Linked DNA regions of Rhinolophus ferrumequinum. The protein of the gene in region 3 interacts with the protein of the main gene of each other region in a pairwise test. Links are inferred from orthologs where the notes say so. Each region holds a gene or a part of one and is shown on either strand. Other genes may lie near its edges.

Region 1 (7,690 bases), on a different chromosome or scaffold from region 3:
AGGGGAAGGGAAGGGAAGGAAGGAGGGAAGGGAAGGAAGGGAAGGGAAGGGAAGGGAAGGGAAGGGAAGGGAAGGGAAGGGAAGGGAGGGGAAGGGAAGGGAAGGGAAAGGAAAGGAAAGGAAAAGAAAGGAAAGGAAAGGAAAGAAAAAAGAAAAAAGAAAGGAAAGGAGAGGAAAGGAGAAAAGAAATGCTGGGGTAGGGATGTGAAGTGGCTCACAGAACCAAAGGAGAAGCAGAAGTAGATCTTGGAAAGGACACGTACCAGAGTGGTCCCTGGGGATTCAGATAGCAGAAATGAATGAACAGTGTCATCAGAGCACTGCCCTAGAATAAACCAGTGATAACTATCCTTGAGTCACTTTATTCAAGATGCAGATTAACTTGGAAAGGAAAGAGAGAGAATGAGAAAAAGAGAGAGTTTACTTAGCCTTACTTAAGTCTCATGCCCAGCCCTTGTCCATGGGAAGGCAGGACAACTGGATTGATAGTCCCAGCTACACTGTACACAATTGGGCTGGGTAATCCCCTGAAGCAAAATCTGTTCTAAGCACTTTGCATATTTATTAACTCATTTTAACCCTCGGAGTAGCCCTTTGAAATAGGTACTGTTATTATTCCATATTTTACAGGTGAGGAAATTGAGACACAGGGAGGTAAAGCAACTTGCCTGTGGTCACACAGCTGGAAAATGATGAGCTGGGATGCAAACCCAGGTAGCCTAGCTCCAGAGTGTGTGCATTTAACCCTCTACAATATAGGGCTTCTCTGGCAGGAGGGCAATGAAGGCAGGGCAGGCAAAAACACAAGGTCCCCTACAGGTAATGCTCAGGAAAGGGATTATGGGGTACTTCCACTTTCTCTGTATCAATTTTAAGCCACCATGTATTAACCAGACCGAAAAAAAAAAAAAAAAGATTATTTCTACTTTGGAAAATTAAAGAAAAGAAAATCCTGCTTAGCCAATAGGAGAAAGGGAAGAAGCCCAAAGCTGGTGATCTCACTCTCTCCCAGCCACAAAGAAGACTGTGAAATATCTAGGACCCAGGGGAATTCCAGCTGTCACCAGGCTGCACTCGCCAAGGCTGAGGAAACCCAGGGAGTCAGGAAGGCATTATCCATCATAAAGGCCCTGCTCAGGACCCAGAGGGGAAGAAAGCTAGCTAGCACTCTGCTGAAGCAAATCGAAGTGGCCACTGCCTACAGACCTCTGCCCTCACTGAACCCTCAATTCCCTCTGTGCCTCTTTTTAGGGCTTCCCGCACAAGCACACTTTCCTTCTTCCATGCAGCCTGCTCTGCCCTCATTCTACAGGGCCCACTCTTTCAACAGTGTGGAACAGGTGATGCCAAGCCTCCAAGCCTGAGAACAACAAGGCCACAACAAAGCTCCAGAACTTAAACCTCATCCCTCTGGCTCAGCCTTTAGCTGCAGAACAATGGAAACCCCAGCTCTGTTCTGGACACTGCCCCTTCCCATGAACACAGGTCAGTCAGTGGCTAAGAGTGTGGGCTTTGGAGTCAGACCTAGGTTGGCGTCCCAACTGTGTCACTAACAGGCTGTGTTACAATAGGCAAGTTGTCTAACCTCTCTGAGCTTCCATCCACTGCCATGAAATAAAGTAATAATACCAGGGCTGAAATTCAGTCCCTATGAACTGGTACAGCTGAACTGGCTGTTAAAATACTAAAATACTTCTAAATTGACTGGTAAATCGGTAGCAGTAGCCCATGGACCCCCACCTCTCTAGTTTTTTTCCTGCCTGCTCCTCTTGATCCAATAACTAAACTGTTAACTCTTGGCAAAACAGAGACCTGCTACCGTGTATCCCCGAAAATAAGACCAGGTCTTATATTAATTTTTGCTTCAAAAGATGCATTAGGGCTTATGTTCAGCGGATGTCATCCTGAAAAATCATGGTAGGGCTTATTTTCCGGTTAGGTCTTATTTTCGGGGAAACACAGTAAGTCTTTGCTCTAGCACTAAGGCCAGCATCCGTTCTGATTGGTAATGCTCGTGCTGAACAGGGTTGTTAGATATTTTTAATGTCACCCCTGGCAGTGGTGATAAGTGGGATTAAGTGAGATAATGCAGATAAAGGACTTGGCAGAGAGTCTGGTATATAGTGAAGCGACTCAATCAATGTCAAACCTGAAGAGCAGAGGCAGGGTCAAGATCAGGGTCTCAAGTATTATGAGCAGGTGAAGATGGGTCACAACTGGCAGTTCAGTTATACTCACAGGCCCTGAGATGATTCGTGGGTGAGGCTGCGTGGGTGGTCCTGCCTGGTTCAAAGAGCAGGTCCTGCTTCACAAACTACCCCTTACTTTCCTTCTCCTGCTTACCTGGGATTCCTGGATCCCATGCTAGATTCCAGAGCCTAGCGTGGGGAAGTCAAGAGAAGCCACGCACCGGCTGGCACCCTGCAGGGCAGGAGGGCTCATCCCTGTGTTCATGACTGCCAGCTCTACTGCTGCTGTTGGAATCCCATGTCTTGTTCACCTGAAACAGAGAAGCTGTCCCCAGGAGGCAGGGCTTTGCCTTTGTAATGTCTTCGGGAATCAGAAAGAATATTCCAATTCAAGGTCTTTCCCCTAAAGGACTTAAAGTATCTTAAAGGGGGCAGTATTGTGTGGTAGCTAGAAGTGTAGGCTCTGGAGCCAGACTGCTTGGGTTTAGATCCCAGCTCTGCATCTTTACTAGCTATGTGAACTTGGACTAGTTGTTTAACTGCTCTGAGCCTCAGTTTCCTCATCTGTTAAATGGGAGTAATAATAGTATCTGCCTCATAGCGTGCTTATTAGGAATAAATTAAGTAATATGTATAAAGTGTTAGGATAATGCCTGGCACAAAGTAAGTTCTCTCTATATGTTAGTTATTATTAAGGAGCTCACAAGTGTAGCGGCACAGTCAGATTCATGCCCACATCATTCTGTCCAGGGTGACAGCCTTTCTTCACCCTGCTAGTTGAAATTCTTCCCCTGCTCTCCTGGGCCTCCTCTACTAGCTCCCACGTTTTACAGACTGGGAGGCCCAGAGACGGTCTTATGTGGTGTCATTGGCAAAGATGGGACCCATTTTAGAGTTTCAGATACCACTTCCAGCAACCCCTGCTGCCTCTCCTCAATTCCTCCTGCCTTGGGTTATAGTTCTCTGTGAACAGGAATGAGTCCTTGCCCATATCTGGGTCTCCAGGGCACAGAGCAAAGAAGGTGCTCAGGAAGTGACAGAGTCAGGACTTTCAAACACCTGTCCTTCGTGAGTCATCAACCACAGGGGCCAGGGATATGCCTGATGACTGGAGGTCCAGGTAGTGCTCTTATGCTGCCAGGGCCCCAGAGAGAAGACATACCCTGCAGCCAGGAAAATGGGACAGGGAGGGAGGGAAGGAAGGAGGGGGGGGAGAGAGAGAGAAAGAGAGAGATCCACTGATTCTGATTCCTCCCCAAGGAGGTTTGGTGGGAGTTTCTAGGACCAGCCAGAGAAGCCTTGCCTCCACTCTTGGCAGGTGGGTCCTCATTGCCCACCCACCCCCCCCGTTGCCCCGCCCACCTCAACTTTTGCTCCCACAGCAGAAGCCCCTTTCCCCCCCTGCTCTTCAGCATCCCCGCTTCCGTTGGACCAATCCCCAGACACCCCGCCACACTTTTGACAGATGCCTAGAAGTCCCTCCACTGCACATGGCCCACCCTGAGGCTGTCTGCTCCCCTTTCGCCCCCAGTTTGGAATAAAAGGGTTCCTTCCCACAGCCTTGGGTCGGGAACTCTCAGCTGCCAGTGCAGTCGGGGAGGCCAAGCCGAGCTTTGGGGAGACCCAAATGGGACGAGGAGGAGGTGTTCCCGGGGCCCTGAAACCTTCCAGACCCTCTCAGTATAAACCGCCTCGGGTTTGTGTCAACATCCGAAGCCGGAGACTGGCGGCGGCTAGGGACCGGCTCCGTCTACAGAACGGGAAGACGGGAGGGTGGGGAATGGAGGGGTCCATGGAGTAGGCAGAGGGATCCTTCTGGGGAGATCTCGAGGTGCCTTATGGGGGCGGTCCATGAGAAATAAGGAAGGCTGGGGAGGGCTTGGAATTAGGGGCTGTAAAGAGCCCACGACTAGTGAGGAACCAGACAGAGAGTGGGTACTTCGCCATCCGTACTGCGCTCTCGGCGCCCATCCACCCTCTTTTCCCATCCACCGCGTGAGGGGAGTGGGTGTGTTGGGGATGTGTGATGCGAAGGTGTGAGCTGCGGACCACCCCATCTCTTTCCTTCCCCACTCAGCTCCTCGGCAGCTCCTTGTCGCCTTCTTCCAATTTTGGGTGGGATATGGAGGGGGTCACATCTTGTGACTCATCCCCTCTTCCATCCCCACCCCCGCTGGGGCCCAGGAAGGGAAAGCTCAGAGACTCGGCTGTGGCTCTCTCGTTTCCATAGTAACCGTGCGGTTGTTTTTGCGAATCCACTTCAGTCGTTTACACTTTTCACCCCAGACTGTGGCCTGGGGTCTGAGCCTCAGGGGGTACAGCCCTCCCCCTTCCTCGCGACTCCGGGAATGTCAGCGAAGGCAGGCGGGGCGCGCTCCCGCAGCCGGGTCTCACTGGCCACCCGGTCCCCACCTGAGACCCCGCCTGCCACTCCGCCCGAGCGGAGCCAATCAACGCCCAATCTGCCCGGGGTGGGGCGGGGCTTATGCAAATCGTGTCGCCTCCGGGAGACATAGTGATACAAGAACTGGGAGGCGGCTCCGGCGCGGACCTGGGAGAACCTGGCCGCCAGCCCGCGAGCCAATCTCTGTCCCTGCGGCCCGCCGAGGCTCGGAGCCATCCAGCAAACCGGCGAGCGGCCTCAGGTAATGCGGGAGGGGCCGGGAGGAGGCCCTTGTCCCTTTCCCCTCCACTCTTCATTCCTATGCTCGTCTCCTGCCCCTCTGATTCATCTCCCAGACCCCTGGTTCTGCCATAGGTGGCAGCGTCTGACGGGCCCACTCCTGGCCAGGGAACCCCTCACCCAAGTCCAGGCCCCATGGGTGCAGGAAAGGAGACAGAGATGCCTCCTTACCCCTAGCTCAGGTAAGAACAACCACTGTTCTGGCCCCCAACACACACACACACACACACACACACACACACACACACGCCTGGAAGTGTGATGCTCATGCTAGAGGAGGCATTAGTCCCCCTTCTCCTTTGCAGATAGGTAGTCCACCCAGTCCCATGGCAACCTCCCACCTCCAGAGATGGCCCCCCGCCCTCATCATCCAGCACCAGCAGCAGCTCGACACACTTCACATTACAAGGTCCCTGCTCCCAAAGACCGCCTCCACCTCCACAGAAAGCCCCCTCCCACTGCACAGTGTCCTCTCCTCCCACCCCTCAAGCTGACAGAGCTCACAGCATACTTGGGGGAGGGAAGAAGCTCCCCTCCCAAACACCCCCCTCCCCCCTTCTCCTCATGACACTTTCTCAACAGCGCCCCCTCCCCATGGTCTTAGTGCTAGGCAGAGGCCCCATGTTTGGCCTCTTTCATCCTGGCTGGAGGATGAAACAAGGACGCCATCCCCCAGGAGACCACCCATACCTGTCAGTCACTGCTGCCAAGGGCCCAGCCTCTTCCGTTCCCCTCACCCCCCACAGTCGAAGCACCAAGTCCTCTCATTCTACCTCTCAAATGTCTTTCTAAGTTGTACCCTCTCTGGCCTTCTTGCACCCAATTGCTCCCTCTCTCCTATCTTCCTGCTGCTCTGCAGGGACTGTGCCAAAGCTCCATATGAACTGTCACTCCTTTCCCCAAAGGGGAAAACCTGGAGAGCCGAAGAGCTGGGTTCAAATCTTGCTTTTGCCTCAGTGCTGTCTGACTTTGGTCAAGTCATTTCCCTCTCTGATTCTTCATGAAATGGGGAAGGGGTCAGAACAGAGGGGAGACTAGATGAGGTGATCTTGAACAGACTTCCAAAGCTGACACACTCTGGTTCTATGGATGATTTTGAGAAAACAGGACTCTTTCTCTCTTTCCCTGAACCAGGAAGATATTTCAGAGAAGAGGCCTGAGGGGCTTTAGTCCTCAGCAAAGGGACATTGCTCCTTAACGAGGCCTACATCCAGACCATCTCCTCCCACACACTCTCCAGGCCTGGGCCCCTTGACAGCTATTAGGAATCCCTCCTAGACCAGCAGCCCACATGCCATGGGTAGCTCCAAGCTGAAGGTGGCCAACAGGGCCCACCCTTTGTTTATCATACCCTGCCTCTCATTAAGAAGGAGAGGGAGAAGAGGTGGCTGCTGCCGCTGTGGCTGCTGCTTGGAGAAGAGCAAAGGGAGGAGAGGAAAGAGAAAAATTTCCTGACCAGGGAGCTATTGTCACCATGGCAACCGTCTCAGCACCAGCTTCTCTGAAGCTGGGTGAGGTGTGGGATTATTGCATCCCTCAGTCCCTCCCACCCTCACTGTCACCTCCCCATTTGAAGCCCACAACCCTGAGCCCTGCCCTCTGGAAGAAGCCTCTGGGTAAAGAGGGGCAGCGGCTTTATGTATGGGGCAGTGCCAGCTCCTTCACAGCCGGAGGGCAGCCCTCAAGAGGTAAGCAGAGGAGCCTGCACATGGTCAGCTGGGCTACAGCACCAACTGAACATACCCTCAGGGCATTCTGGCCTTCGCCTTGCTGCTGATGGACTCTACTTGACCTTGGGTGAACCCTTCTTTCCCCAGGTCTGGCTTCTATTTCTCCTTAAGTGGATGAAATGGCAGGAGAATACAGATAAAACAACAGCCTGAGGCCATTCCACAGAGGAAGAAGGGGGTTCTGTCCCTCTCATGTAATCCACCAAGGAACATTCAGTGAGCATTGCTGGGTTCCAGGCATAGCCTTTAGGTCTCTGCAGGGTGGTTCTGTGCAGCCACAGAGGGCAGAGTGGGAACCCAAGAGGGGCAGCTACAAGAGGGCAAAGTTAGGAACAATGGGAAAAATACCTTTCTCCTGTCTGAGCTGCCCCAAAGAGGACTGGGTCATATTGGGAGGGGATAAGCTCTTTGCCACTGGGCAAAAAGACCTGGAGAACTTTTCTGGAGGGTCAGGCAAAAGTTTAATGCAAAGGCCTCTTCCAAATCAGTCTCCATCCTAGAATTCTAGAGCACCAGGTGAGGGTCAGAGGGCGTTGAAGTCTACATACTTGTGGGGCTCAGCTCCATGGTCTCACAGGGTCTACTCATGCCCAAAATACTGTGCCATGCTGCTGACTGTCCACTGTCCAGGCTGAGAGAGGCTGATCATAAGAAGTGGGCTTCAGTTAGACCTGCAGGCTGATTGTAGCTGTGTCAGCCCGGGAGAGAAGAGAGGATGTTAGGGGAAGAAAACGGCTAAGCACTAGGTGAGGTAGGTTCTGGCTGTGAGAAACTTGGCTTCAAAGGAGTACACAGTTGTGAAGGAAGCAGTGGGAGGTAAGGCTAGACAGTCAAGCACCTTGACACGAGATTCTGGAGTTTAAGGGGGCATGTGGGCCATCTCTAACCTATATTGTACTTCTGGGCAAAGCAGGAAAGACATTCCCTCGAAACAGAGGACTCAGAAGAAAGGCACTCCGTCTGAGGCCGTTGAGCCCACGGGCATAGCTTGGCAAGCAGTTCCCCAGCTGTATTTCAGCCTCCTTAGCTGTGCCCCTGGCCCCGACTATGGAGAGAGAGAAGACACTGACTGTTCCAGGAGCTCTTTA
Region 2 (7,319 bases), on a different chromosome or scaffold from region 3:
GAAATGTCAAAAATCAGTGAGGACACAAGTGTCTACTGTGGTTTTGATAACGTGTGGGAACTGAGAAGTGACCCGTAAGCCACCCCCGAGTGGGACATCAGCACGTGAAGCCGGATGCAGGTCGGCAGGACAGCATGCTAGGAGCACAGCTCGCAGTGACCCTGGGGGGAGCGCCACCTGCCTGGGTTGCAGGGAAGATGGAATGAGGCCGTGCCCACAAAGGTCCTAAATTAGAGCCTGGTGTTGAAAGGCCCTCAGGAGGAAGGAGGGGCTGGCGTGACAGCTGGATTTCCAGGACGCACACCGGGGGGCTGGCCTCCAGGTGTGGGGAACAGAGTCAAGGGCTCCGGACGTTTTCCCCCACCATGAAAAGCTTACTCCCTGAGCTACCAAGTCACCATGATTATTTTTAAAAAGATGCTGCAAGGAAAACAGATGGGTTGGAAGTATTCTTGCAAAGCTCAGAGCGTCTTGGTTCAGCTGGTAGGATTTGAAACGGTTCCTTTTTCATCCCTGCTCTAGGACAACATGCAGCTCCCCGTTTCCCAGCCCTGGCTCCCACTCACTCCCATACACCCTTCAGGAAACAGCGGGGATAGCACCTCCTCAGGGAAGCCCTCCCTGGTCCATCCACGAGGTCCGTCCCCGGTGAGGGCACCCAACCCCCTTTATCGTTATTAGTATTTCTGTGTGAGTGAGCATTTGTCTGACGTGTCCGTCCCCTGACAGCCCAGAGCCCAGCACTGCGGCAGAGAATGCCCTAAACAAATAGCTGAGAATGAGTTCCAACTGTTTGAGAAAGTGACTTCACTCTTTGTCTATTGAAAATAAATAGTAAGCGCGTGGTGGGGCGGGGAGGGCAATCAAATAAATCCGGCTACATCTGTGTTTGTCCCGGGCAATACTGTATGGCTTTCAACTCTCAAAGATGTCTGGCGGCGTCCCATGTGGTTTTCCTTTCTCCTTGGAAGGAGCGTTGGGGGGAGGGCAGAAGCACACAGTGGGATTCTCCTGGAACCCCTGTCCCCACTGCCCTGTGATGAGGTTCCCCCCACAACCTCTCCCTGCTGACCGCTGGCCATGGGACTCACAGGGTCCCCAGGGATCGTGTGCATTTCCCAACAGTCGGAATGGGGGCACCTGTGGAGACCCTGTGACCTGAGTCTCACTGGGGAACCAAACCCCCAGCCCAGACCGTCACAGGCTCAAAAATCTGCGCTTCTGAAACGGCTGAGCGGGGAGGGTTCTTAGAGGCCCTCTCTGCTCCCACAAGCTTCCATCCACTTTCTAGACAAGACAGTGAATCCCAGATATGGAAAGGGGTGAACCCAAGGTCACCTGCTATGTATGGATTTAACAGGACAGCTATCCACGCATTTAATCCCCACTCTTCCCTCAGCTGAACTCAGAAAAGGACTTAGCGTTACTGAGGGACGCTGAGGGGTGCCCCCAGAGTAGCCCCTGGCACCAGGCGCGCATCCACAGTGGCCACGGGTCCTGTGACAACTCACAGCGAAGCGTCTCCAGGATCCGCCCTCAGCTGAAGCCTTGCCCCGGCTATGCTCTGCCCCGGCGCAGCAACTGGCTAGGACATGGCACAGAGCCTCATGGGGGCACTGGACCCGACGCTCCCCTGTCCACTCCGCCTCCCTTGCCCCTCACAGGGGTCGTCCCCAGGGACACTCAGCAATGACCTGCTTACACACACATCTCTGGCTCAGAGTCTGTTACTAGGGAAACCGACCAATGCAGCCATGGACAGGAAGTGGCCAGACCTCCCATGAATAAAATGGTTTCAGGAAACAGGGGGCACCTATAAAACCCAGGTCATGTCCAGCCCACAAGGACTCCTCAGTGGAAGTAAACGCACTGTGTGGTCTGTGTCCGAAGGGGGACGTTCTCAATGCTTGGCCCACTTTCCACAAGAGGGAGGCCAGGGCTACCTGGGCCCCGAGCCCCGTGCTCTGTGAGGGTTACTGTGTCCCGTTTAGGGGTGCTGGCCTGTCTGCACACATCATTCCTCTCAGACATGACTTCTACAGGCCTGGGACGTGGGGGCAGAGAAGGAAACGGACACCTTTCCTAAAACCGACTAGCCTGCTCCTCTCAGCGCAGGAATCCACCCCAGGGGGCCCGGTTTTGGTCCCCATGCTCCATTGCCTTCCCTTGGGGTTCAGACATGCCTGAATGGAACCTGCCCCAATGGGTCCCTGGGTTCTGGCCATTCCTCCCCCATCTTCCCAGAGCTGAAGAAGTCAGAATGCACCCTTCACTTGCCTTGTTCTCTTCTTTAAAGAAAACCATGTGTTTACTCTCTTATGCCAAAGTTACAACAGCTGACGGTTTGCCAGTGTTGACTTTAAACGCTGGGCAAAGGGGTTAAAATCCTCCCTGATGCCTGTGTATACTTCTGGAGTAAACGGAGCAAGAGGTTCTAAAAACCGTCTCATTCGCTGGGCTGCACCTGAGGGTACACAGCCCCCTGTCCCCCACCCCACCCCGCCCCGCCCAGGGCACAGACCTGGGAGGCTCAGCCGGTCCTGCTCCCCAGCCCCCAGGAGCCCAGCTATGGGGATCCTGTGGGCTCAGCGTGTACACCTTGCGCCTGCCCTGCTTTGCCAGCAACACTCAGACGGGGTGAAGGGCAGAGAAAGCTTCTGCCTGCCAGGGCTCTCTCTCATCCCCTTGGGGGTCCGGCGACGCACCGCCACCCCCACCTCACCCCCGCCCAACAGCCTAATGAGTGCTCAGCCAGCCTCTGCAAGGACAACAGACAGGCGCACACGTGCACACTCCATGCCGGCGCGTAAACAAAACTGTGCTCCCCCCACCCCGTGCGGCTTCACACCCTGCACCCCACCTCCCACGGGTCCCCTGAGAAGAAGGCCACTCACCACTCTGCCTCCGAGGGAAGATCCTCTTCTGCAAACTCATCCTGAGGGCCCTGGGGCCGGGAGGCCCCTCTGAGCAGATTCAGAAGTCCTGCTTGATCCTCCGCAGCTTCTCGGGCTGGGAGTATTTGAATAGGAGTTAAAACTACAAAGTAACTCCCCGTTAGAGCTGTTCCCCCCCTCCCCGGCAGGGAGGGAGGGAAAAATCACTTCCCCTCTGCCAGCAAGTCTTTAACGGCTCAGGGCAGCCTCTTCCAACTCCTGCCCTCCTTGCAGAGCAATGTGTATAAAAGCGATGTTATTTCACTGAATCAAGCCCTCAGATCATAAGCTTTTTCCTGCACCGCAAACAGAAATGTAAAACCTCAAACTTTCCTTTGGACTCGGAGTGAGTTGAGAGGGCAGAAGACAAGCCTGTCTAATGTATGGAGACGTCACTCACTCCACTGCTTAGATCATCCCAACCGCGCACCGCTCCCCCCACCCAACGTTTTCTTTTTTTTTTTTTTTAACGAGTTCTGGTGTGTTTATGTAATTGCGAGGGACAAACACAACACCTAAAATCCTTGCCCAACATTGAAATGATTCATTTTCTCCTTCACACACACCACACACAAACACAGTGCCTGTTTAATCCAAGTGAAAACGCCTTTCATGAAATCTGCAAAGGGCTGGGGCTGGGCCACTCACGGTGAATGCAGCCTGTGTCCCCAGAAGGGCAGTGGCTCCGGGAAGGTGAAGGCTGACTTTAATCAAGGCAAACAGAAGGTGCCCGGACTGCCGCCCACGTCAGGACGAGGAGGGACGACCAACCCTGCGCCCGAGCCCTTGGGGACCTGGGCTCCGGAACGTTTGCAGCCTGATCTACCCAATTTTCCCGGCTTGCCTTTCCATACCAGGATAACTTATTTTTAAACTTGGACAAGGCATACTATTATTTTAAATGACCAATTTGATTGCCGGGTTAAATAAATCCTCAGATTTCCCACCGAAAAGACCAAAAGGATATACAATACATGGGCAGAGTCAGAGCTGAAAACTGGGGCAGAATGTGAGGGCTGGGGACACAACAGTGTGAGAGGGGACGGAACGGAAAGCTTGCCGTTCGACAGAGTGTCACCAGGAAAACTAGTGAGACAGAGCCGGGTCCGGTTTAAGTCACCTGTTTATGCACCACCACCTAAACATACAACACCTGTCACCTGCCAAGTGTCCCAGGCCTTCCTGGGATGTCCCTCCCCAATCCCCCCACCTGTGGTTGCCTCGGGTTTCTCCACCCACGTCATTCCCACCTCTAAGGGCCTCGAGGGGGTCGGGTCGCAGGCTTCAGTCGCCAGCATTTTGCTCAAAGCCAGGCCAGGCCGGTCACTGCGACCCTGAGCCCCCCAGTCCGCCCCTACGCACCTTGAACAATCACTCCTCCAGGCGGTGCTGCGGTGCCAGCTGCCAGAGAAGTCCAGCTGTGGGTACCTGGAGTCAGAACAGCCCCCATGAGTCACCGTCACCCCACAATGAGGTCCTGGAAGCAGAGCTGGCCCTCCCTTCCCTGCTGCCAGCTCAGCCTGCTCTGAACAAGTACTCAGGCCCTGAGATTACACGCCGCTGCCTTCTAGTGGTACCACCTGCCGCACCGCACAGGTGGGACACAGGCTGGGTAAGCGGGGACGGTCTGCAGAAACTCGGTGACGTGATAAAGTACGTAAGACTGAGTGTCACAGGAAGGTCTGCCTATAGTACTCCAGGAATCAATCAGCTCACAAACTCAGGATGTGGGAGACGATCCACATACACGACACAGATTAAATTTGAAGAATAACACTGAGGGTATGTTTGTTTTCCCTCCATGCGCTTCCCAATATCCATTTGGGCTTTCCAACATCACTGTGTTATCCACCCCAATTCAGGGAGGAGCGGGAGCTTTCCATTCATACCACTTAGAGGATGATAGAAAAAAACATTTTAATTTAAAAAAAAAAAAAAGGTTTTCTAAGTCAAATCATTGCCTTTGGAACTCCTAAGTAGACTGTTAAATCAACAGCAAAGGCTGTAATTTTGAAAGTCATGGCGTTTGATCATATGAATCAAGCCTTTGACAAATTATTATTTGCTGCGGTCGGCCCCTCCAAATACGTCCACATCCTGTTGTGGGAACCTGTGACTACGTTATGTTACACAGCAAGAGGCAGTTAAAGTGGCAGAAGGAATTAAGGGTGCTAATCAGCTGACTTTAAAGGAATTTTCTGGATTATCTGGCCCAATGTAATCACAAGGATCCCTGAGAATGCGAGAGGGAGCCAGAAGAGGGGTCAGACCCAGAGATACTTGAAGCTACGCTGCTCGCTTTGATGATGGAGAAAAGGGCCGTGAGCCAAGGCTGCAGGTGTCTCCAGAAGCTGCAGAACTCAAGGAAGTGGAATCTCCCCGCAGCTCCAGAACGGAATGTGAACCCTGCCGACACCCGATGACAGCAGGCGAGACCCAGGCTGGACGTCTGACCTCGAGAATTGTCAGAACGTAAATTCGTCTTGTTTTAAGCCACTGCTTTTGTGGCAATTTGTTACAGCAGCAATCGAAAACTAATACATTTGGGTTTGTTTATATTTTGTTCCTTCAATGCCAAAAGCTTGGTTTTGATTACAGAGAGCAAAGCCTGGAGGATTCAAAGCACAAAATTTATACCATAAACCCATAGATTTGGGAAGAACATATGATGATAAAAGAACAGTGGTTTTCTCTTCCATACGGAGATGAAAGGCTGCCCAGCTGAAGGGAGGATGGGGCTACTTTAAAATGACAAAATCAATTTTCCGTCATCTGCAGAAATGGGGTCTAAGAGTTTTAAGTTCAATTACAGAGACATAAGAAAGGCTGCGTGTTTATACACGATTTTCCCCCTGTATATAGCCTACTAGCTGCATGTCCAGATATGAACAGAGGTTATCTCTGGCTAGTGGATTATGAGTGCCTTTTATTTCTTTTACTCCGTATTTCCTAGTTTGTTTCTTAGGGGGAAAAAGGGAGGAAAAGTATATGTACACATGGGAAGCCCTAGTCCTGGCAGGCCCGAGCACTCCCCACCCACAAAGCCGCCTCTTTCCCTGCGCCGGGGACTGAAAGAACAGCTGTTTGTCACTCAAGGTCTGCAGCAAAGAATGGGAGGTCCTCCTCTTACTGGTGAAACCACCTGGGGAGAGATGCAACCTCTGGCATCCATGTTCCAGCTCTCTGTCCTCCTCTCGTCTCTCCTGCCCCCACCAGCAGCGCCCCCTTGCTGGCCCTGCAGGGCTCAGGCCTAGGACTGATTGCTTACTCAACCCCCACCCACTCAGGAGGCCCCTGGACTGTGCTCACGTCAGAGGGCTGCGTCCTCTTCCTTGGCTGGCTCTTGTGTCCCCCAGCCCGTCAGCGTCATAGACAGACACCTCCCGCTGCAAAGTGGGTCCTACCCCGTCGGGAGCTGCTTCTGACCAGGCAGCCAGCATGCCAGAGGCTTAGAGGGGCTGGCGGCTGAGCCCACAACGACCCATCTGCTGCGGATGCAGGGTCTGCTTGCCTGCGCCAAGCCCTGAGTCTTCCTCCCCCTTCCCGTGGGATGGCCCAGCGGCCATTCCCGCTCCCGGTTCTGCTGAGTGGCCCTGGCGCCTGCCCCTGACCGTACGTTCCGTCTCGTGTGGCGGTCTCCACGTGGAGACTGGGTATGCAGCCTGTCCTGCTCCATTCTTCCGAACCACAGCTGCCGCCCCCCCAGGTTCCAGCACAGCCTCCTTCCCTGGTGGACAGCTGGGACCCAGTCCAGCTCCCCCAGTCCATAGCCCACCATGGGTCTCGGTGGTCCCTGGGGCCAGGCCCACAGCAGCCCCGGCGGCACTCCCCACAGTCCACTTCCTCCCGTTTCCCTTTCCTGGGCCCCGAGCTCCCTGCTGATGCTGTCACATCACATTTAACACTTCAGAAAGGGCTGAGACATCCCCCAGAGAGCATCACCCCCAGGTCACAACCCTTTGAGGCTCCCTCCTTCTTCTGCATCAGGCCCTGACGGCACGTGGCCGGCTCGATGGATGGTGGGAGGTCAGCGCTGTCTCTTGAACTTGGCCCCTTCCCACATTCTCACGGATGGAGCTGCCACACTGCATGGAGGGACATGTGACAGCTCGCAAGATAGTGACCCCGAGGGAGCCTGGGTGGCTCAGAGAAAGCCAGTAAACTATTTTCCAGCCTAACGTGTAATCATTAACCTGAATGCCTACATCCCCCAGGATGGTAAACGCAGCTAAAAATCAATTTTCTTGTTCAATCAACCCACTCATTTCTAAATGTCCACTGCCTCTAAAATTTACTTTAACACTCAGAAAATTGCAGACAGCCTATTGTGCCAATGTATGGCATTCAAAATGCTTTATAATTTTTGAACATTTATTTTAAGGACAA
Region 3 (7,929 bases):
AGTACATGTAAATAATAAAAAAAAAAAAATAAGGCAATCCTCCCAGTAAAAATTGCCATTTGGTATTTCAAACATCAACATTGTGGGGATTAAACCACTGGGAATATTTACTCATTTTTCATGTAACAGCATTCACTGACCATCACTACACCAAAAAACTTGCACTCTCAATTTGGTCCATGGCAAGTCTTACAAAAAAGAGCCCATTTATAAACAATGTATTTACACGTGTTAATTCACATTCCCTCATTTGTTTTTCTGTTAGCTGCATCCAACAAGGAGGTATTCAATATATTACTTTAAATATGGTAATTAGGTTCTTCCCACCTCTAAAATAGAAGTTGACATTTTGATCCAAGCTACTTTCTTAAAGATACCAGTAAAAATTATCGTCATTTCCGTTCAGAATTTTCAGCAGTTTTTCTCCTAACTAAGCGTTATCTGAGATACAGTACTTCTTGATCTCTCTCAAAGTAGGTCTAATCTGCGGAAGGCAGTGAGACAGAGTACTGCACTGTGAATGGACAGCCAGGTATTTTATGAATGGAGGCGATCACGTGATCTCAGCACCTCCCCCGAACTGATATTTCCCACATAACTGTGTCAACATTCTGAGAACAGGGGGTAGTTGTTTGTGTCAGTGCGTATGTTTTTTAATTTAACCTGTAACTTCGAATTCTCCTTACTTTGCCGAACTCAAAAATCTACATGAAGACAATCAAGTTTCGAGTATTTTTCTTAGGAAATTCTTTCGAGATGTCCAAGGTGATGGATGTTTAATTATTTTTTTATGAATGAAGAGTGTGCTATGCAAATGAGGGCGATTCACAAAAAGAGAGAACATGGCGGCCACTTCTGATTCTAGACTGCACTGACACTGCAGCAATCTACCTTCTCCCACACCCGCTCATCACAAGAGTGTTTTGGGGGGGAGGGGAGGAAAGAGAAACGCTGCTTGGCATTTCTCAAGCTATTTTATGTTAAAACAGGTCCAAGCTTTGGACTTTAAAGGTCTCTCAAAAAGGTCTGACTCGAGGAATGCACTTTATTTAAGGGACTAGCCCTCGCTCACTTTACTCTTTCCAACCCTTTAAAGATACACAAAACTTGAACTTAATTACAAGACAACGGTTGCTAATATTCTGCATGCAATTAAATCCCCGTCTCAACAGAAAGTTGTCGTCGTACCATTCATTATTCCTCTAGGCAGCCGTTACGTTACAGCAAAATATTTAGGTGGCAAAGTATTCCGTTTGGAAAACATAAAAGACAGGCCAAATAGAAACTTTAACCGGGATGGTCTAGAAGTTAATCGATGAAGTCATCAACATGTTCAACAAGGTAAATATGTTAAATCAATGTAAATGGTGTATTTTAATATCGCTGAATAAAAATTAGCATTCAAAAATCCTTCTATGCTCGTGATAAAGACATGTCCAATGTCGGCAAAGGTAAAATATAATAGTTCAACGTCTCCCATACTCCATGTGTCCTTAATCCTATTAAATTCTAAAAATGTTTCTCCAGCCCTATTTTTTACAAGAATCTTACAGGTCATAAGTTTAAAACAGGAGGGGAGGGGGATGGAGGCTTAATCGGTATTAAAGAGTCACTGACTCATCGAATTAAGATTCAAGAGAGTTTGCTGCAGGAGGTGCTCCCACACATCAGTTTCCAAGTGAAACAGCTATAAAGACAGCAGGATGGATATTCAGGGTGTGTTGATCGGTGTGCTACAGGGAAAAAGGACAGGCCAAAGGTCTTTCAGGCAGAGGGCTAATTTCTACCCGGCCTCCATCCATCCACACGACTCCATCTCCTGGACGTAAACCTGCCATCCCACCGCAACACTCAATACCCTTCCCCAGAAGAAAGCCACGAAAAGAGGGGGTGGGGTGCGGAGCGGGGGGTAGGGTACTGCCATTAAATAAAATGGCTCAAGAAATCAAATGCTATCTGCAGAACAAGATGCACCGAACTCTGTAGGGCTGCAAGCTTGCCAACACCCAAGTCTCAGAGGGGTCTGGGGAACAGCGGAGGGAGGCTGGGTGGGTGGTGGTGGTGGGGGGGTGTAATCAGGATCAATGAGGCGCTTACTCGTTGTCAGAAGTCGCCGTCTCCTCGCTCATCTTTCCCTCACCGTGATCCGATCTGGAGATGGAGGAGCAACAGCAGGCGGAGGAGCAGCAGCAGCACCGAGGGGCAGGAGGCAGAGGCAGCCGGGGAGGCGCGGGGGCAGCGGCTCAGGGGCCTCACCATGGTGGATGCCTCACCCGGAACGGTGCCCCCCCAGCCGGGAACCCCAGCCACCCCCGCAGGGGGGTGGCGGCAACAACCTCTGCCGTGGCGACCCCAGCCTCTTCCCTCGCCTCAGCGCCCAGCCAAGGGATCCGAGGAGGCCGGGAAGGGTGGGTGGCAAGGGAAAAAGAAGGGGGACTGCGAAGGCTGACTGGAGAGCTGCTCCTCTGGCCACTGGGGTGGAGCGAGGCGGGGTCCGGCCAGGAAGGAGCGGGAGGGCGGGCGGAGAACCCGGGAGCAGAGGCGGCGCTTCCCTCAGGGATGCGGTGAGGAGGAAGCAGAGATCCCCTGGGTGGGGGCTGCCGGGGGGTTGCCGAGCCCAGGCTCCGGGCGGCGGCGGCGGCGGCGGCACGGTCCTGCCAGAGCCCACCCCACCATCTCCCGCCTCGCCGCCGGCTGCCCGCTCAGCCCCCGGCAGCGAATGGGGCGGTCCTCAGGAACGAGCAGGATCGGGCGAGGGGCCTCGCGGCGGCGGATTCCTCCAGACACTCCAGCCGGGACGACTCCACAAGGGGGAGGAGGGGGCGGCGGGGAGTGTGTGAGGCAGGCGACCCGATCGCCCCCACCCGGGCAGGCGAAGAGCGGGAGCGTCCGGGGAGCAGGGTCCCGAGAAGCGGCTTCGGGGCGAGGAGAGCGGCTGCAGGTTCCCCGTCAGCCGGTGCCCACCACAAGCTCGGCGGGCCAGCTCCTCACCTCCTCACGCCCGCCAGAGGGGAGCCGCGAGGGGGGCGGCGGAAGCGCTCACGCCGCCCGCTCCTTCCGCCGCCGCCGCCGCTGCCCGAACCGGGGGCGCCCGCGGGAGAAGGAGGCGAAGTAGTCCCTGGCGACTTCTCCCGGCCGCCGGCTTCCCCGGGGGCCAAAGAGAGCGTGGGGTGGGGTTGCCGAGCGGGGTACCCGGGCTGGGAGAGTGTGTGCAAAGGAGGACCAGAAGCTGCGGGCTCCGGGCGAATCACTGCAACTCGAAGTCGTGTGCAGCATAGCAAGTTTCAGGAAAGTAGTTCCCTCCTCCCTTCATTTCCCAAATCGTTGTCGAGCCACTGAGCGGGGAGAGGGAGGAGGGAGGCGGAGGGATACGCCAGGCCCCGTGCTCGGTGTGCGTGCGCGCGCTCCAAACTCTTGGCACGCCGCGAAAGGGGCGGGGGTGTGAGCTGCACTGGGAGCTGCTTGGGAGGTTGCATTGTTGCGGCGCGGTACTCCCCGTTACTCGCTTTGGAATATCCGGTTGTTTGAACGAGCCGGCTAGAATGACAGTGTGCTCAAGGAGGAAATTGGAAGCTACTCTTGTCTGCCGTGTGTGTGTGTGTGTGTGTGTGTGTGTGTGTGTTTGCAGCGCAAAGAATGGAACTGGCATGAGTTCATCTTTAGTTGGTGCGGGTTAAAGGAGGGACTGTACAAAGAGAGCTCCGCCTGCTGTCCCTCTGGTTGCATTGCTGCAGCCCCCTAACTGCATGCACATCGGGAATGAGTGAGTATGTGTGTGTGTGTTACAGAGAGAAAGAGTTAGTTGTAATACCTTGGATTTTTACTGCGCAAGGGGTATGCTGTGCAGGGCATTCATCTCCGAAAGCTAGAGTGGTTGTTAATGGAGAACGACTTCCATTGAAGCCCAGGGTAGGCGTGTTACATGAATCTGGCGCAGCCTGAAGCACAGGAAATAACTCCTGCTGCGAGTGAGGTTGCATAACTATAGCGCAGAAGATGCCTCTGTGGCACGAACTGCTCTGAACGGAGGCGGAACGAGTATTGAATAGGCAGCTGTCACGTTTGCATTGTTAGAGGACAATGTATGCATTCATCTCAAAAGGTTTTTGCACAGAAACCTGCTGGGGTTTTTAGGTTGGAGTATAGGGTCAACCGGACCAGAGGACTGTGAGCTCTGCAAATTCTATTCTCTCTTCGCTACCTAGAAAGCCAGCCTATACAAGATCTGGCCTGGGGGACTGAATCCCCAATGCTCCCAAGTTTCTGACCCATCTTCCTAGGCAATCAGTCTAGCTTTGTGCGTAATGCTTTGCTCTTCATTCTGAGGTTTGTGCACCCTAGCAATGAAGGTTGCTGCTCCTGCCACCTTGAGGGATAGAACAATTTCGGAGGAAGAAGAAAGAGGGAGAACTTCCCAAACATGCCAGCATTCCTCTTTTTCCATCTGTCTTCAGGAAGTTTCCAGAGTGCTCTCATGAGCTGGTACACAGGAGCCGGTTAACAGTGTTCTGCGCATAGTAGGTGCTTAATAAATGTGTGACGAATGAATAAAGGAGCTCAACCAGTCAGTCTGCCCAAAAAAGCATCCCGTTGATTTCGGAGGTTTCTTGATTCCTGCCTCCGCAAAAGCATTCTCCTTATTCAAAGCGAGGATGGGACAATGTTGGTGACAGGAAGAGGGGATCCGGGATAATCAGATCGGACCTCTGTTACCTCTGAATCTGAGTTGTTTTTTGTTTTGTTTTATTTTTTATCTTGTTTCTGTGACGAACCTATAACTGGCAGTGTTGGTGCTGGCCTGCACTCCTTCCAGTACGACTGCTAACCGCTTCAGCTGCTCAGATTTGAATCAAGTCCCATCAGTTATAATTTGTGTTCTAGACAAGTTACTTAAACTCTGTGCCTCTGTAAAATGGGAATAATAGAACCTAACTCATATAGCTACTGTACTGATTAATGAGGTAACGATATACATTAAGCACTTAAAACAGATTAAGAGCTCAGTGAGTCCTAGCTCTCACTATGATTTTGTAAAACAGAGATAATAATAATCTCCACGACAAAGCCGTGCCAGTTGCTCTGAAGGTTTAATGTAAAGCATTCAGTAGCCTTGTTCATTCATTCAATCAATAATTGGCTTGGTTTTTTTTTCTGTGTATACCACTGTTGCTAGACACATAACCTGGCCCTTAGTAAGCCATCATTTTCTTTTGAAGATTTGTATCTGTTTGAGGTTCAAGTGCATCAGGGAAATGATCAATACCAGGCTTTGAGAGAAGACAGGAAAACTGTCTCGGCTGTCATGTGCAGAGCACTATGCTGGCCACTTGCATTTATACTGCTTACCTAAAAGGGCAAGACATGATCAACAGCCTGAATGAATGCTTTTAGATTGTTCCCAGTCCTGCGATCAAGACACAGTCACCAAACAGTTCTTTTTTGAAAGTAGTCCTCGCTTAATGTCGACAGGTTCTGTGACTTTTTTGCGAAACAACGTCTAACAAAATCAGTTTACCATAGGCTAAGTGATAGGAAGAAGAGTGAAGTTCCTGGGGCATGTCATAAATGTTATCACAAAATGATGTTTGGCAAAATGACGTTATTTGAGGAACTGGTATCCACTGCAAGGACTGCTTTAATGCAGATTCCTAGGTCCCGCTCCAGAGATTGATCTGCAGATCTGTAATGAGGCTAACAAATCTGCTTTTTCAGAAGTATGCCGGGTTCCCTTAGCCCTTCGCAGTCTACCCCCCCCCTTTCCTACTTGTGTCATCACATCTCTGAACACATCCCTAATTGAAGCCCAACACAAAAGAGGGTGGCCCAAGGTAGATGATAGGCCAAGGTAGACACTGGCTAAGGCCAGAGACCTGGTGCAGCTAAGGAAGATGGACTCAACAAGATTTGAAAAGCTGTGTGAGAAGATAAATACAGATCACAGTTTCACCTTAAGTTCCAACTCCATGCAGTTGGTTGAGCACTAGTCCAGAAGGATTCTGTGGCCCCATCAGGGTTAGGAGTACAAGGAACCCTTGTGTTTGCTCGCTTGTATTATCTCAAGAGGGTCTGTGGCAGAGGTTGGTCACAACGGCTGGTACTCACAGGTAGCTCTCAGTACAATTGTCCTTAGCTTAGGAATTAGCTATGGTCACTTAACACTTAACAACCTGTTATAGATGATTTATTATCTAAAGCATCCATGAGCCAACAGTACAGTTGCCAGGTAATTGCCACTACAGGACATCATCAAAGTTAAGAAGGTGCAAGTTGGTTCTGAGTTCCAGGCAGAGTTAACAAAACCAGCAAGGTGGCCTGAGCTCATGGAGGCACTGGAAGCTGGCATGCAGCGCCCCAATTCAAGGCTTTCTCCCTCTTTCCAGACCACTCGGTCCATAGTGATCATCTTTCTTATGAACTCAGAATTTGTCTTCTCAAATACTTTTATTTTTCCCTTTACTGTTTGATGCCTGTGTTAGTAATTCTCTCTCCCCACCCCCCTTTTTTTCCTAATTAACTTTCATTAATATGTGTTTGTTTTTCCAGTTTCATTTTAAGTGTCTTGAAGGCAAAAGCAACATTTTATATTTTTGGGTGTTCTCTTCAGCACTGGTTTTAACTAATGGAAGCTTTTCAAGTGAAACATGGTGCCCATTTTTATACATTTGTGTATGTATAAAAATGAAACTGTATTGACTGACACGATGTAAATCAGGAGTCCCCTCTGGCCTCCCATTGTGACCTGAGTACTGCTGCAATTCAGCATTTCACACTGTGCCTTGCACTAATAAGCTCTCAGCAGATATATGTATACTTGCAAAGCCAAAAGAGAAGAGAGCCATGCCAACTGTATATAAAATACATGTTCATATTTCACTTCTGAAACTACTTTTAACATTACCCCATAGTAGATGTTATTAAAATTTTGTATTTTAAAACTGTAGTTAATATGTGCCTAGATCAAAGGGGATACTATTTTCATGCTGTACTTTGTTTAATGAATGACTTTTTTTTTTTTTTTTTTTTTTTTTTTTTTTTTTTTTTAGTGTAACCAGTCTCTTGGCTAATGAGCTTTGCCTCTCAGTGGAATTACTAAATGGTAACCATGTTTCTAAATAGTTTCCTTGCCTCTGGCATGAGTCTGTTTCTCCATCACTAGGGTTTCCATGTTCTTCCAAACCAATACAAAGTATAAAGAAATAAGCTATTTTATTTTTCTCCCAAAGGACTTCAATTGTTGGTCTGGTAGTATCCGGTGAGTGTGAAATCAGTTTACTTTTAATGCTATAACTGCCTTTTACAGGAAGTTTCCACAAGATTACAACAAGTACAAGGGAAATGAGCAGTCTGCGATTTCCTTTATTTTCAGTATAATCTTAGCAGGGAGGATGCTTACTAGGCCCCACACTACTAAATAAAGCACTCCTCCCTTACCATCATTCTCCCAAGTGGTTTTGGCATGCTCTTTCTTTGAAGGTTATATCCCGTTACAACAAATATGAAGTACTGAAATATCTGTCACATAAGATTTCCAAGGCCATGTGAATGCAACACAAATTCAGTATACAACAAAGTGTCTCAGTGGTTCCTTGGATTTTTTTAAAAATGGAATTTGACTTCCCTCTGAGTGAGTAATAATAATTAACCTTCGTATAGGAATATAAAACGTACGATGCCCCTCAGGAACTTACCTTCCTAACACCCTTGCTTGCTAGGTATTATTATCAACTCCAATTTACAGAGAGAATTAGGAACTGAAGATCAGAGAGGTTGACTTGCCAGAAGTCACACATTAATAAGAATGTGGCTAGCACTCAAACTCACATTTTCTCCTTCAAAAGCTCGTGTGTGTATGTGTGTTCGTGTGTGTTCATATATATAACCTGTCAAAGATGGGATCCTTAGTGGGATATTCTTTCCATTTCAAGTCAT
Region 4 (7,972 bases), on a different chromosome or scaffold from region 3:
AGTAAGACTTTTAGGCATGGTCTCTATCACGTATTCTTCTTTGTGTTTGGATTTGTTTTGTTTACAACACTATAAAACTGTAAAAAGCATTTTTGCTCTCTTGGCTGTACAAACCCCTGCTCTGAAGCCTTGAAACTAGACTCAGAGGCTGTCCCAGAGCACCAGGCACCAGCTTATCTCCTTCTGCACAGGGCTCCTGGGAGCCCAGTAATGGAGCTCTTGGAAATGCCACCTCAGTCAGAAGTGTACCCCAGAACACACTGAATCCCTGAAAAGTAAAAAAGGAGCTTTGATGAGAGGAGAGTTCCTGTTCTCATCATACCAATCCCAGGGCAAACAGAAATCCACACTCTGGGGGGAGCTACAACCCACCAAGGAGCTACCATGCTCATGTGGTGACCTTCACCTCTGCTTCCAGAAGAAAATCCACTGAATCAGTTCACCTCAGAGAGCTGGACCTGCATCCTCCACCACCAAATCGGAGATGTCTGACCTTTTTATGAGGGAAGTGAGGAAAGAGTTCAGATCACTGCATTTCCCCATTGTTAGTCTAAACCCTTACGCTTAAAAAATAACTAAATAAATACCTCTGAAATGGTTCCAAGATAGTATGCCAGATTCCTTTTGGCCAACCTTTGATTCCTTAATATTGCCCAAAGTTTTTTTTTTTTTTTTTATTAAAGTAGTATATATAAAGATTGGTTTGGTCATCCTCTCTATTATTCTCCATGTTTGCTTCTGGCTTTAGTGAAACTGACTGAACTTTGCTTGACTGATGTTCATTTATTCATTCAACACACATTTGCTGACATTCCCAATCCATCTGTCAAGCCACTTGCAGATAGGGAAGACTGACATGTGGATGGTGCTGCACAGTGATGGGAGGGGTATATGCAGGGTAAGTGTCAACATGAAGTAAGGACAGCTCAGTCAGCTCCAGGAGCGGGTACCAAGAGGTCTGCCGGAAGTCAGTGTGGCTGCAGCTGAGTAGGGAAGAATGCATAGGAGTTGACCAGACAAGGAAGGGTGGGACGATGGCAGGTGCTGAGACTCAATGGCTTGAGCTGAGGCTACACATGGGGAGGCTTGGGAGATGAGTGAGCCTGGGGAGGAAACAAGGGTGGGGTCGTGAAATTCCTTGGAGTCCAAACTCTATCCTGAAAGCCACAGAAAACCTCTTAAGGAAATTAAGCAGAATGACTGGCTTAGATTTTTATTTTCTAGTTGCAGTTTGGAGAACACATTGGAGCACGAGTGTCCTGATTCGGAGCAAGGAGCCCAGCGTGAAGACAGTTGGAGCAATTCAGACAAGAAGTTATGAGATCATGAACTAAATCAATGACAACAACAAAAATAATAAGAGCTCCAATTTGTGCAGCACTTATTAATGACAAGGCACTGTGTGAAGTCCTTTCTTTATATTAACTCATTTTATCTTTACAATAAACCTGAGGGAGGTTTGGTACTATTATCAACTTTATGCCACAGATCAGGAAACACAGAGAGGTTAGGTTAAGTAATGAGCCCAAGGTCTGGGAGCTCTTCATGTCCCAGCCAGAACTCAAATCCAGAAGTCCGGCTGCAAAGTTCACCTCTCCCAGCCCATCGCCCTAGCACACTCCTAGAGAGGACTGGATGCTTTCCAGTGGTCTGGCTTGGGTACCTGAACATTTGGGTTTCAGCTTCTTGAGCCTTCTCCTCTGAAGGAAGCCCCTCCCCAAGTCTGTCTTTAGCCCCCAGTGGTCTCCCTATACACCCACAGTCCCACCATCACACCACCACCTCTTTCTCCTTTGCAGTCCGTCCTTGCATCCTGCATTTGACCCTAAACCACATCTTCCCATTGGAGTGAAAAACCTCACAAGCATTGCCAATTAGGTCTGAGGAATCAGGACAGAGAACCCAGCTCTTGGTAAAACAGTTGTTTAAGTCTTATTTTCAAATCAGACCGAACTGGGAAAACTTTGAGCAAGCTTGTGTGGTTTCCTTCTCAGCGAGCGAGACCTTGGCAAACCTACTTCAGTGTTTCACACTAGTTTTTTCTATGAACAGAACGTATACCATCATTTGAGGCCAGCGTTTAACACACTTGGCAGGCCTGGTCTACAGCCACAGACAGACATGCCGGAAGAAAGTGGCCCTGGCTGGGAGAGCTTCGGAATCAAATGGCTTTCTTTCTCCGGGCATGAAAGTTAAAGCAAGCATCTGCAGCAAGAAACTTGTGTATTTCCTGCGGACAGGGAGACCTCCTGCCCCTCCCGGGCTGATACAACCCACTTTGCACATCCTGCTTCTCTGGAGCTAAAAATAAATCGGTATGCATTGAAAAACACTCAAACACATCTCCCTAGCACTCCCCTTCCCGAGTCCCCGAGAGCAAGAGACGCAAATCTTTCGGGTCCTGAGTCCAAAATACAGACGACTTCCTCCTCTGCATTCAACTAGCGCCTTTCCGTCGCTCCCAAAGCCCCCTTCCCGGGCCCCCACCTCTCGCACACGCCTCCTCTAGCCCCTCAGAACCGACTCCTCAGGCCCGGGAACCAGCAAGTGTACTCGACCCCAACCCCCGCCCCGGAGGGATGCTCTGGAGATCCCCGGGCCACCAGGCGCGCGAACGCCCCCTTCCGACACAGCGCGCCCCCATCCTGCCCGCCCCGCTCGCCTCTGAGCGTCCCTCTGCAAAGTTGCTCTCTCCTTTTCTGCCACCCATCCTCAAGGTCTTTGGTTTTGTTTTGTTTTACCTCTGAGGCATTGGGGAAAGGACTGGGGAATTGACAGGGGAAAATGAACCCGGGAAGGACTGTGGGGACAGGTCCCGAGGACCGCGCGCTCCAAGTGCCCACCCGTGTATCAGCCGCGCCCCAAGCGCACCAGTCCCCCCAGCAGCCGCTCCCGATGCCACCGCCCCCAGCACACTCGCCCCGGCTGCGACTCCGACTCTGCTCTGGCTCCGAAGAAGCCGAGAGCAGGCGCTGCGACTCACCGCCTTGGCTGCTCCCGGCGTCTGTGTCTCTGCTGGCAAAGCGGCGGCGGCGGCGGCGGCGGCAGCGCCTTCCCCCCGCCCGCCTCCCCCTGGACAGCTCCGCCGCCTGCCGCGCCCCCCTCCCCAGCCTCGCTCCTCTGCCTCCCTCCTCGCGGCCACCCACCCCCACTCCCCCTGCGGCCTGGCAGGCAGCCTCTCCCCGGGTGCAGGGGGTGTCAGCTGAGGCTCGGGGTTTACAGGTGCAGTAGACGCCTCCACCTTGAGCGGGTGCAGCCGCCGGACTTATGTGCGTTGTGCCCCCCAGCCCTAGCCAACCTCCCAGGCTTCTGGCTGGGCTGCACTGGCACTTTCCAAGGGATGACATCTGTTTGCCTGTTCGGGTTGGGAGGGAGGTCAGATTCAACCCACAGCACCTTCTTCTAGGCTTCGATTGAGGGCGGTGAGGAATGGAGGTGCTGGAATCCCTGCTTGTTGTACTGAATTCAAGGGGGAGGGGCGGGTTGGAAGGACATGTTCACAAGGTGTTAGGGTGCTGCTCTTGCCTAACCAATGCTTTCTGTCATCTAGGGATGGCTTAACAGAAACTCAGGAGGAGGGCATCTGAAGGGGACCTCTTATCCCCACCCCCACCCCATCGTCCACTCCAGAATGTCACCAAATCTTTCATCGACTGGAGATGATGCTAAGCAAATATCTTGTCAATTCATTCAACCTATATTTATCAAGTGGCTGCCAGCACACGCTCCTGTCTTGCTGTGTTGGGCACTCATGATCTGTCAAAAAGTCACAGTGACTTCTTGTGTTTGTCAACCCCAGTGACATTTCCAGAACTCCCACGGCAGGTCTCAATAGCAACATAGATTCATTGATTTAAAATTTTACTGGTTAAAAATAACAAAAAGGCGCGATGTAAAGCTATAAGGGCACCATGACCTGTCCATGTTTGTTGTAATAATTACGAAATCTTCTAATATGACTAGTAATAGAAATGACAGTTACATTTAGGTCGAACAGCTGCCAATTCTGATTTGAAAATCAAGTAAAAGGTCCACCAGACTGAAACCATCCTCTTAGTTCTGCCTTCAATTTCCACATCATTTACTCCTTCAGGCAATGCTTGAAAAATAAAGTTACCATATTTTGCTGTGTATAATGTGCACCCACGTTTTTGGCCCAAACTTTCAGGGGAAAAAATGTTTCATTTTAATTTTTTTTAATGCATTGTTTTCAACTTTTATTTATTTTAAGTGTGTTTTTCCAGGACCCATTAGCTCCAAGTCAAGTAGTTGTTTCAATCTAGGTGTGGAGGGCGCAGCTCACAGTGGCCAATGTGGGGATGGAACTGGCAGCCTTGTTAAGAGCACTGTACTCCAACTGAGCTAACCAGCCGCCCCTCGTTTTAATTTTTTAATTCAAATTTTTATTTGTTTATATTTAGGTACTTGTTTTTTGCTTTATAAAGGAATTTTAGGATTTATTTTTTTAACATATTATGGTACAAGAAATTTTATGTAACAAATGATTACAAAACACAAGAACAGATAGAAGGTACAAGAAATTTTATGTACCAGTAACAAATTTACGATATTTATGCATCAAAGAGGGCCAAGAACTCTTCATATTTGCAAGTTTTTTGTAAGTTCAACAAAATTGATTATCGTATTCCAGGATATTATTTTGCATACGAATATCGTTATTGATATCTAGAGTTACACTTTTAACTCATAAGTATGAATAAAAGAATTAAAAACATTTATATAGACACAGAATTAGTACGACCTATGTATAATGCACATCCTTATTTTTTTCTCACAAATTTGGGCAAAAAGGTATGTATTATACACAGCAAAAGACGGTATCTGAGAAGCCGGTAAACCATTATTGGACACTAAAACTTTTTCTTGAATTGGATTAGCAGATTAACCCAAAGGCTTGCCTTGCCTCCCTGGATCAATACACATTGGAATCACTTAGAGCGATGGGGTTTTGTTTTCTACTACTAGACCTGGGCCGTTCTCCTGGAGATTCTGATTTAACTGGTCAGGGGTGCAGCCTGGCGTGGAGATTTTTTTCCTTGGTTTCTGGGAGATTCTGGTGTACAGCCAGGATTGGAAACCCAGGATTAGCCAATCATCAAAAAAGGCCTAAGGCAATGAGATATAGAACAAGGAAGTTTTGAGGCAGGTAACGGACTGACCAGGTAGGTGTTGCCAACTCAAAAGTCCCTAAAGGATTAAGAAGCAGTGATAAAGAAGTAACTTAGGCGGTGTTTACAGGGGCAAACTGGGAAGGGCATCATGCTGTCAAGAGGGCAACCTCGTTTTCCTACATGGGAAAATTCAGGTCCAATGTGGCCATCAAATTGAGTTTTTTTGTCTGTTTGTTGTTTGTTGTTTTTGTTTTTCCAGAGAAGCCAGAAATCTACATTTAATATGAACTCTTCTCATTTTAAATTACTGATAACTAATTTTTTAAATCTTTTAAACACTCTGCAGGCCAAGAAAGAAGAGTTTGTAGGCCACAAGGGGTCCCCAGGTTATCAGTTGGTCAGCTGTGGTCTGGACAGTGTAGGGCTGGTCATTGCCTACAGACTGCGGGAAGAACCCTGGTGTGTCAGGGGCAGTTGTGGGAAGGTGGCAGTGCTTGGGGGTGGCTGTGTCTCTGAGAAACAGTGATTTACAAAACCACTTTCTTCATTTTTAAATTTTGCTTTAATGATCTCTGCTTTTTTTTAAAAAAAAAGGGGGGGCTTTATTGAGATATAATTTGCAGGCATACAATTTTTCCATTTAAAGCATACAATTTAATGTTTTTAGTATATTCACAAAGTTGTACAACTATCACCACAATCACCACAACCAATTTTAGAACTGATTGTGATTACCCCCAAAAGAAATGCCATACCCACCATGTTTCCCCGAAAATAAGACCTAGCCGGACGATCAGCTCTAATGCGTCTTTTGGAGCAAAAATTAATATAAGACCCAGTCTTATATTTTATTATATCCAAAAATTTACTATTTTACTGTAGTAAAATAAGACCGGGTCTTATATTAATTTTTGCTCCAAAAGACGCATTAGAGCTGATCGTCCGGCTAGGTCTTATTTTCAGGGAACCGCAGTATTAGCACTCATTCCCTTCTTTCTCCTAACCCCCAGGCCCTGGCAACCACCCACCTACTTTCTATCTCTGTAAATTTGCCTATTCTGGGCATTTCATATAAATGAAGTGTTCATACATTATGAAGTCAGTGACTGGTTTCTTTCACTTAGCATAATGTTTTCAAGGTTCATTTATGTCATCATTACTTCATTCCTTTTTTATGAACAAATAATATCCCATGATCCCATATATCATATTTTGTTTATTCATTTATCAGTTGATGGACATTTAGGTTGCTCCCACTTCTTGGCTATTATGAATAATGCTGCTATGAACATTCATGTATAGGTTTTTATGTGGATGTATGTTTTTATTTCTCTTGAGTGTATATCTAGGGATAGAATTGCTGGGTTACATGGTAACTCTATGTTTAACATTTTGAGAAATGACCACACTGTTTTCCAAAGCAGCTGCACCATTTCACATTCTTACCACCAGTGTGTAAATGTTCCAATCTCTCCACATCCTCTCAAACACTTGTTACTTGCCATTTTTGTAAGTTATACCATCCTAGTGGGTATGAAGTGGCATTTCATTGTGGTTTTGATTTGCATTTTCCTAATGGTTGATATGTTGATCATCTTTTAATGTGTTTATCTTTTTTAGAGAAATGTCTTTTCAGATCCTTGGTCCATTTTTTAACTGCGTTGTCATTTTATTATTCGGGTGTAAGAGTTCTTTATATATTCTGACTATTAGTCCCTTATTGGATATATAATTTGCAAATATTTCCCCCCATTCTATGGGTTGTCTTTTTATTTTCTTGGTGGTATCATTTAAAGAATAAAAGGTGTTCATTTTGATGAAGCACAAGTTATCTATGTATTCATTTGCTGTTTGTGCTTTTGGTGTTTTGCTTGATTCAAGGTCACAAAGATTTATGCCAGAATATTGAGCCTTACTTTTTTCCCCCCCTTCTTCCACTTCCCCCCTCACTCTGGTTCAAGCCGTTGTTTCTGTCTAGTTGTGTAGGTCACAGCTCCCTGGCCCATGCTGGTATTATGAGACTTGCGCTCCCCCGGCTGAGGCAGTCGGTCGCCAGTCATCGCTCGGCCGCTCACGGCCGCTCACACTGGCCGCCGGCCACTCACACTGGCTGCTGGCTGCTCCTGGCAGCACACGGCAGCCTGCGGCAGCCCAGGGCAGCTCACACCGAGTTCCAGCTGCTCATGGCAGCCCAGCTCCAGGGAGAGCTGTTGTTCACAATCTTAGCTATAGAGGGCGCAGCTCATTGGCCCATGTGGGAATCAAACCGGCGACCTCGGTGTTAGGAGCACTGCGCTTCAACTGCCTGAGCCACCTGGTCATGGACGTTACTTTTAAAAATGTTCCTGACTGTGATATTGGAAACTGGGAACACTGAGACAACTGGTCTTGGGCTCAAGGTCAGAGTCTCCTGCTTCCAGAGGTCTGATTTGCTGGGACAGCTCTCTCACCACGGCACTTGGTCAACTTTGGACATTGAATTACAAGTTTCTGTCAAGAAGCAACTGAGTGTATATGTTTTAGACTAGCTAGGCCAACAATAGCATGTATTTATTCATCTACTCCACAGATATTTCCTGAGGGCCTCCTATGTGCTTGAAATTATTCTAGGTTCTTGGGTTCACTAAACAAGACAGATGAGATCCATGCTTTGGTAAGACTTATATAATGCGGAGGGGAGGAGAGAGAGAGAGAGGAAGAGAGAAAGGAGATATATATCAGATGAGTGTTATATAAAAAATATAACAGTGCAGGCTGGGACAACTAGGGAAGGAGCTAGACAGAGGAAACATCGTGGAAAGGCTCTAATGGGGAGCAGGGGAATACATACTTACTCTGGA

The links.
Region 1: the proteins of SPRED1 (region 3) and HPCAL4 interact in binary tests that used the Homo sapiens proteins (3 or more experiments, as listed by UniProt). The link is inferred for Rhinolophus ferrumequinum from reciprocal best matches to the Homo sapiens genes SPRED1 and HPCAL4.
Region 2: the proteins of SPRED1 (region 3) and IL16 interact in binary tests that used the Homo sapiens proteins (3 or more experiments, as listed by UniProt). The link is inferred for Rhinolophus ferrumequinum from reciprocal best matches to the Homo sapiens genes SPRED1 and IL16.
Region 4: the proteins of SPRED1 (region 3) and NCALD interact in binary tests that used the Homo sapiens proteins (3 or more experiments, as listed by UniProt). The link is inferred for Rhinolophus ferrumequinum from reciprocal best matches to the Homo sapiens genes SPRED1 and NCALD.

The regions. Positions count from the first base shown.
Region 1 is NC_046292.1:27,818,866-27,826,555, reverse strand, and holds the start of HPCAL4 (hippocalcin-like protein 4), read left to right. Parts: upstream 1-4,679; 5' UTR 4,680-4,834; intron 4,835-7,690. UniProt on the Homo sapiens protein: May be involved in the calcium-dependent regulation of rhodopsin phosphorylation.
Region 2 is NC_046311.1:1,397,200-1,404,518, forward strand, and holds the start of IL16 (pro-interleukin-16), read right to left. Parts: upstream 3,010-7,319; 5' UTR 2,935-3,009; coding exon 2,895-2,934; intron 1-2,894. UniProt on the Homo sapiens protein: Interleukin-16 stimulates a migratory response in CD4+ lymphocytes, monocytes, and eosinophils. Primes CD4+ T-cells for IL-2 and IL-15 responsiveness. Also induces T-lymphocyte expression of interleukin 2 receptor. Ligand for CD4.
Region 3 is NC_046289.1:66,397,896-66,405,824, forward strand, and holds the start of SPRED1 (sprouty-related, EVH1 domain-containing protein 1), read right to left. Parts: upstream 3,011-7,929; 5' UTR 2,130-3,010; coding exon 2,098-2,129; intron 1-2,097. UniProt on the Homo sapiens protein: Tyrosine kinase substrate that inhibits growth-factor-mediated activation of MAP kinase. Negatively regulates hematopoiesis of bone marrow.
Region 4 is NC_046297.1:43,660,027-43,667,998, forward strand, and holds the start of NCALD (neurocalcin-delta), read right to left. Parts: upstream 3,002-7,972; 5' UTR 2,984-3,001; intron 1-2,983. UniProt on the Homo sapiens protein: May be involved in the calcium-dependent regulation of rhodopsin phosphorylation. Binds three calcium ions.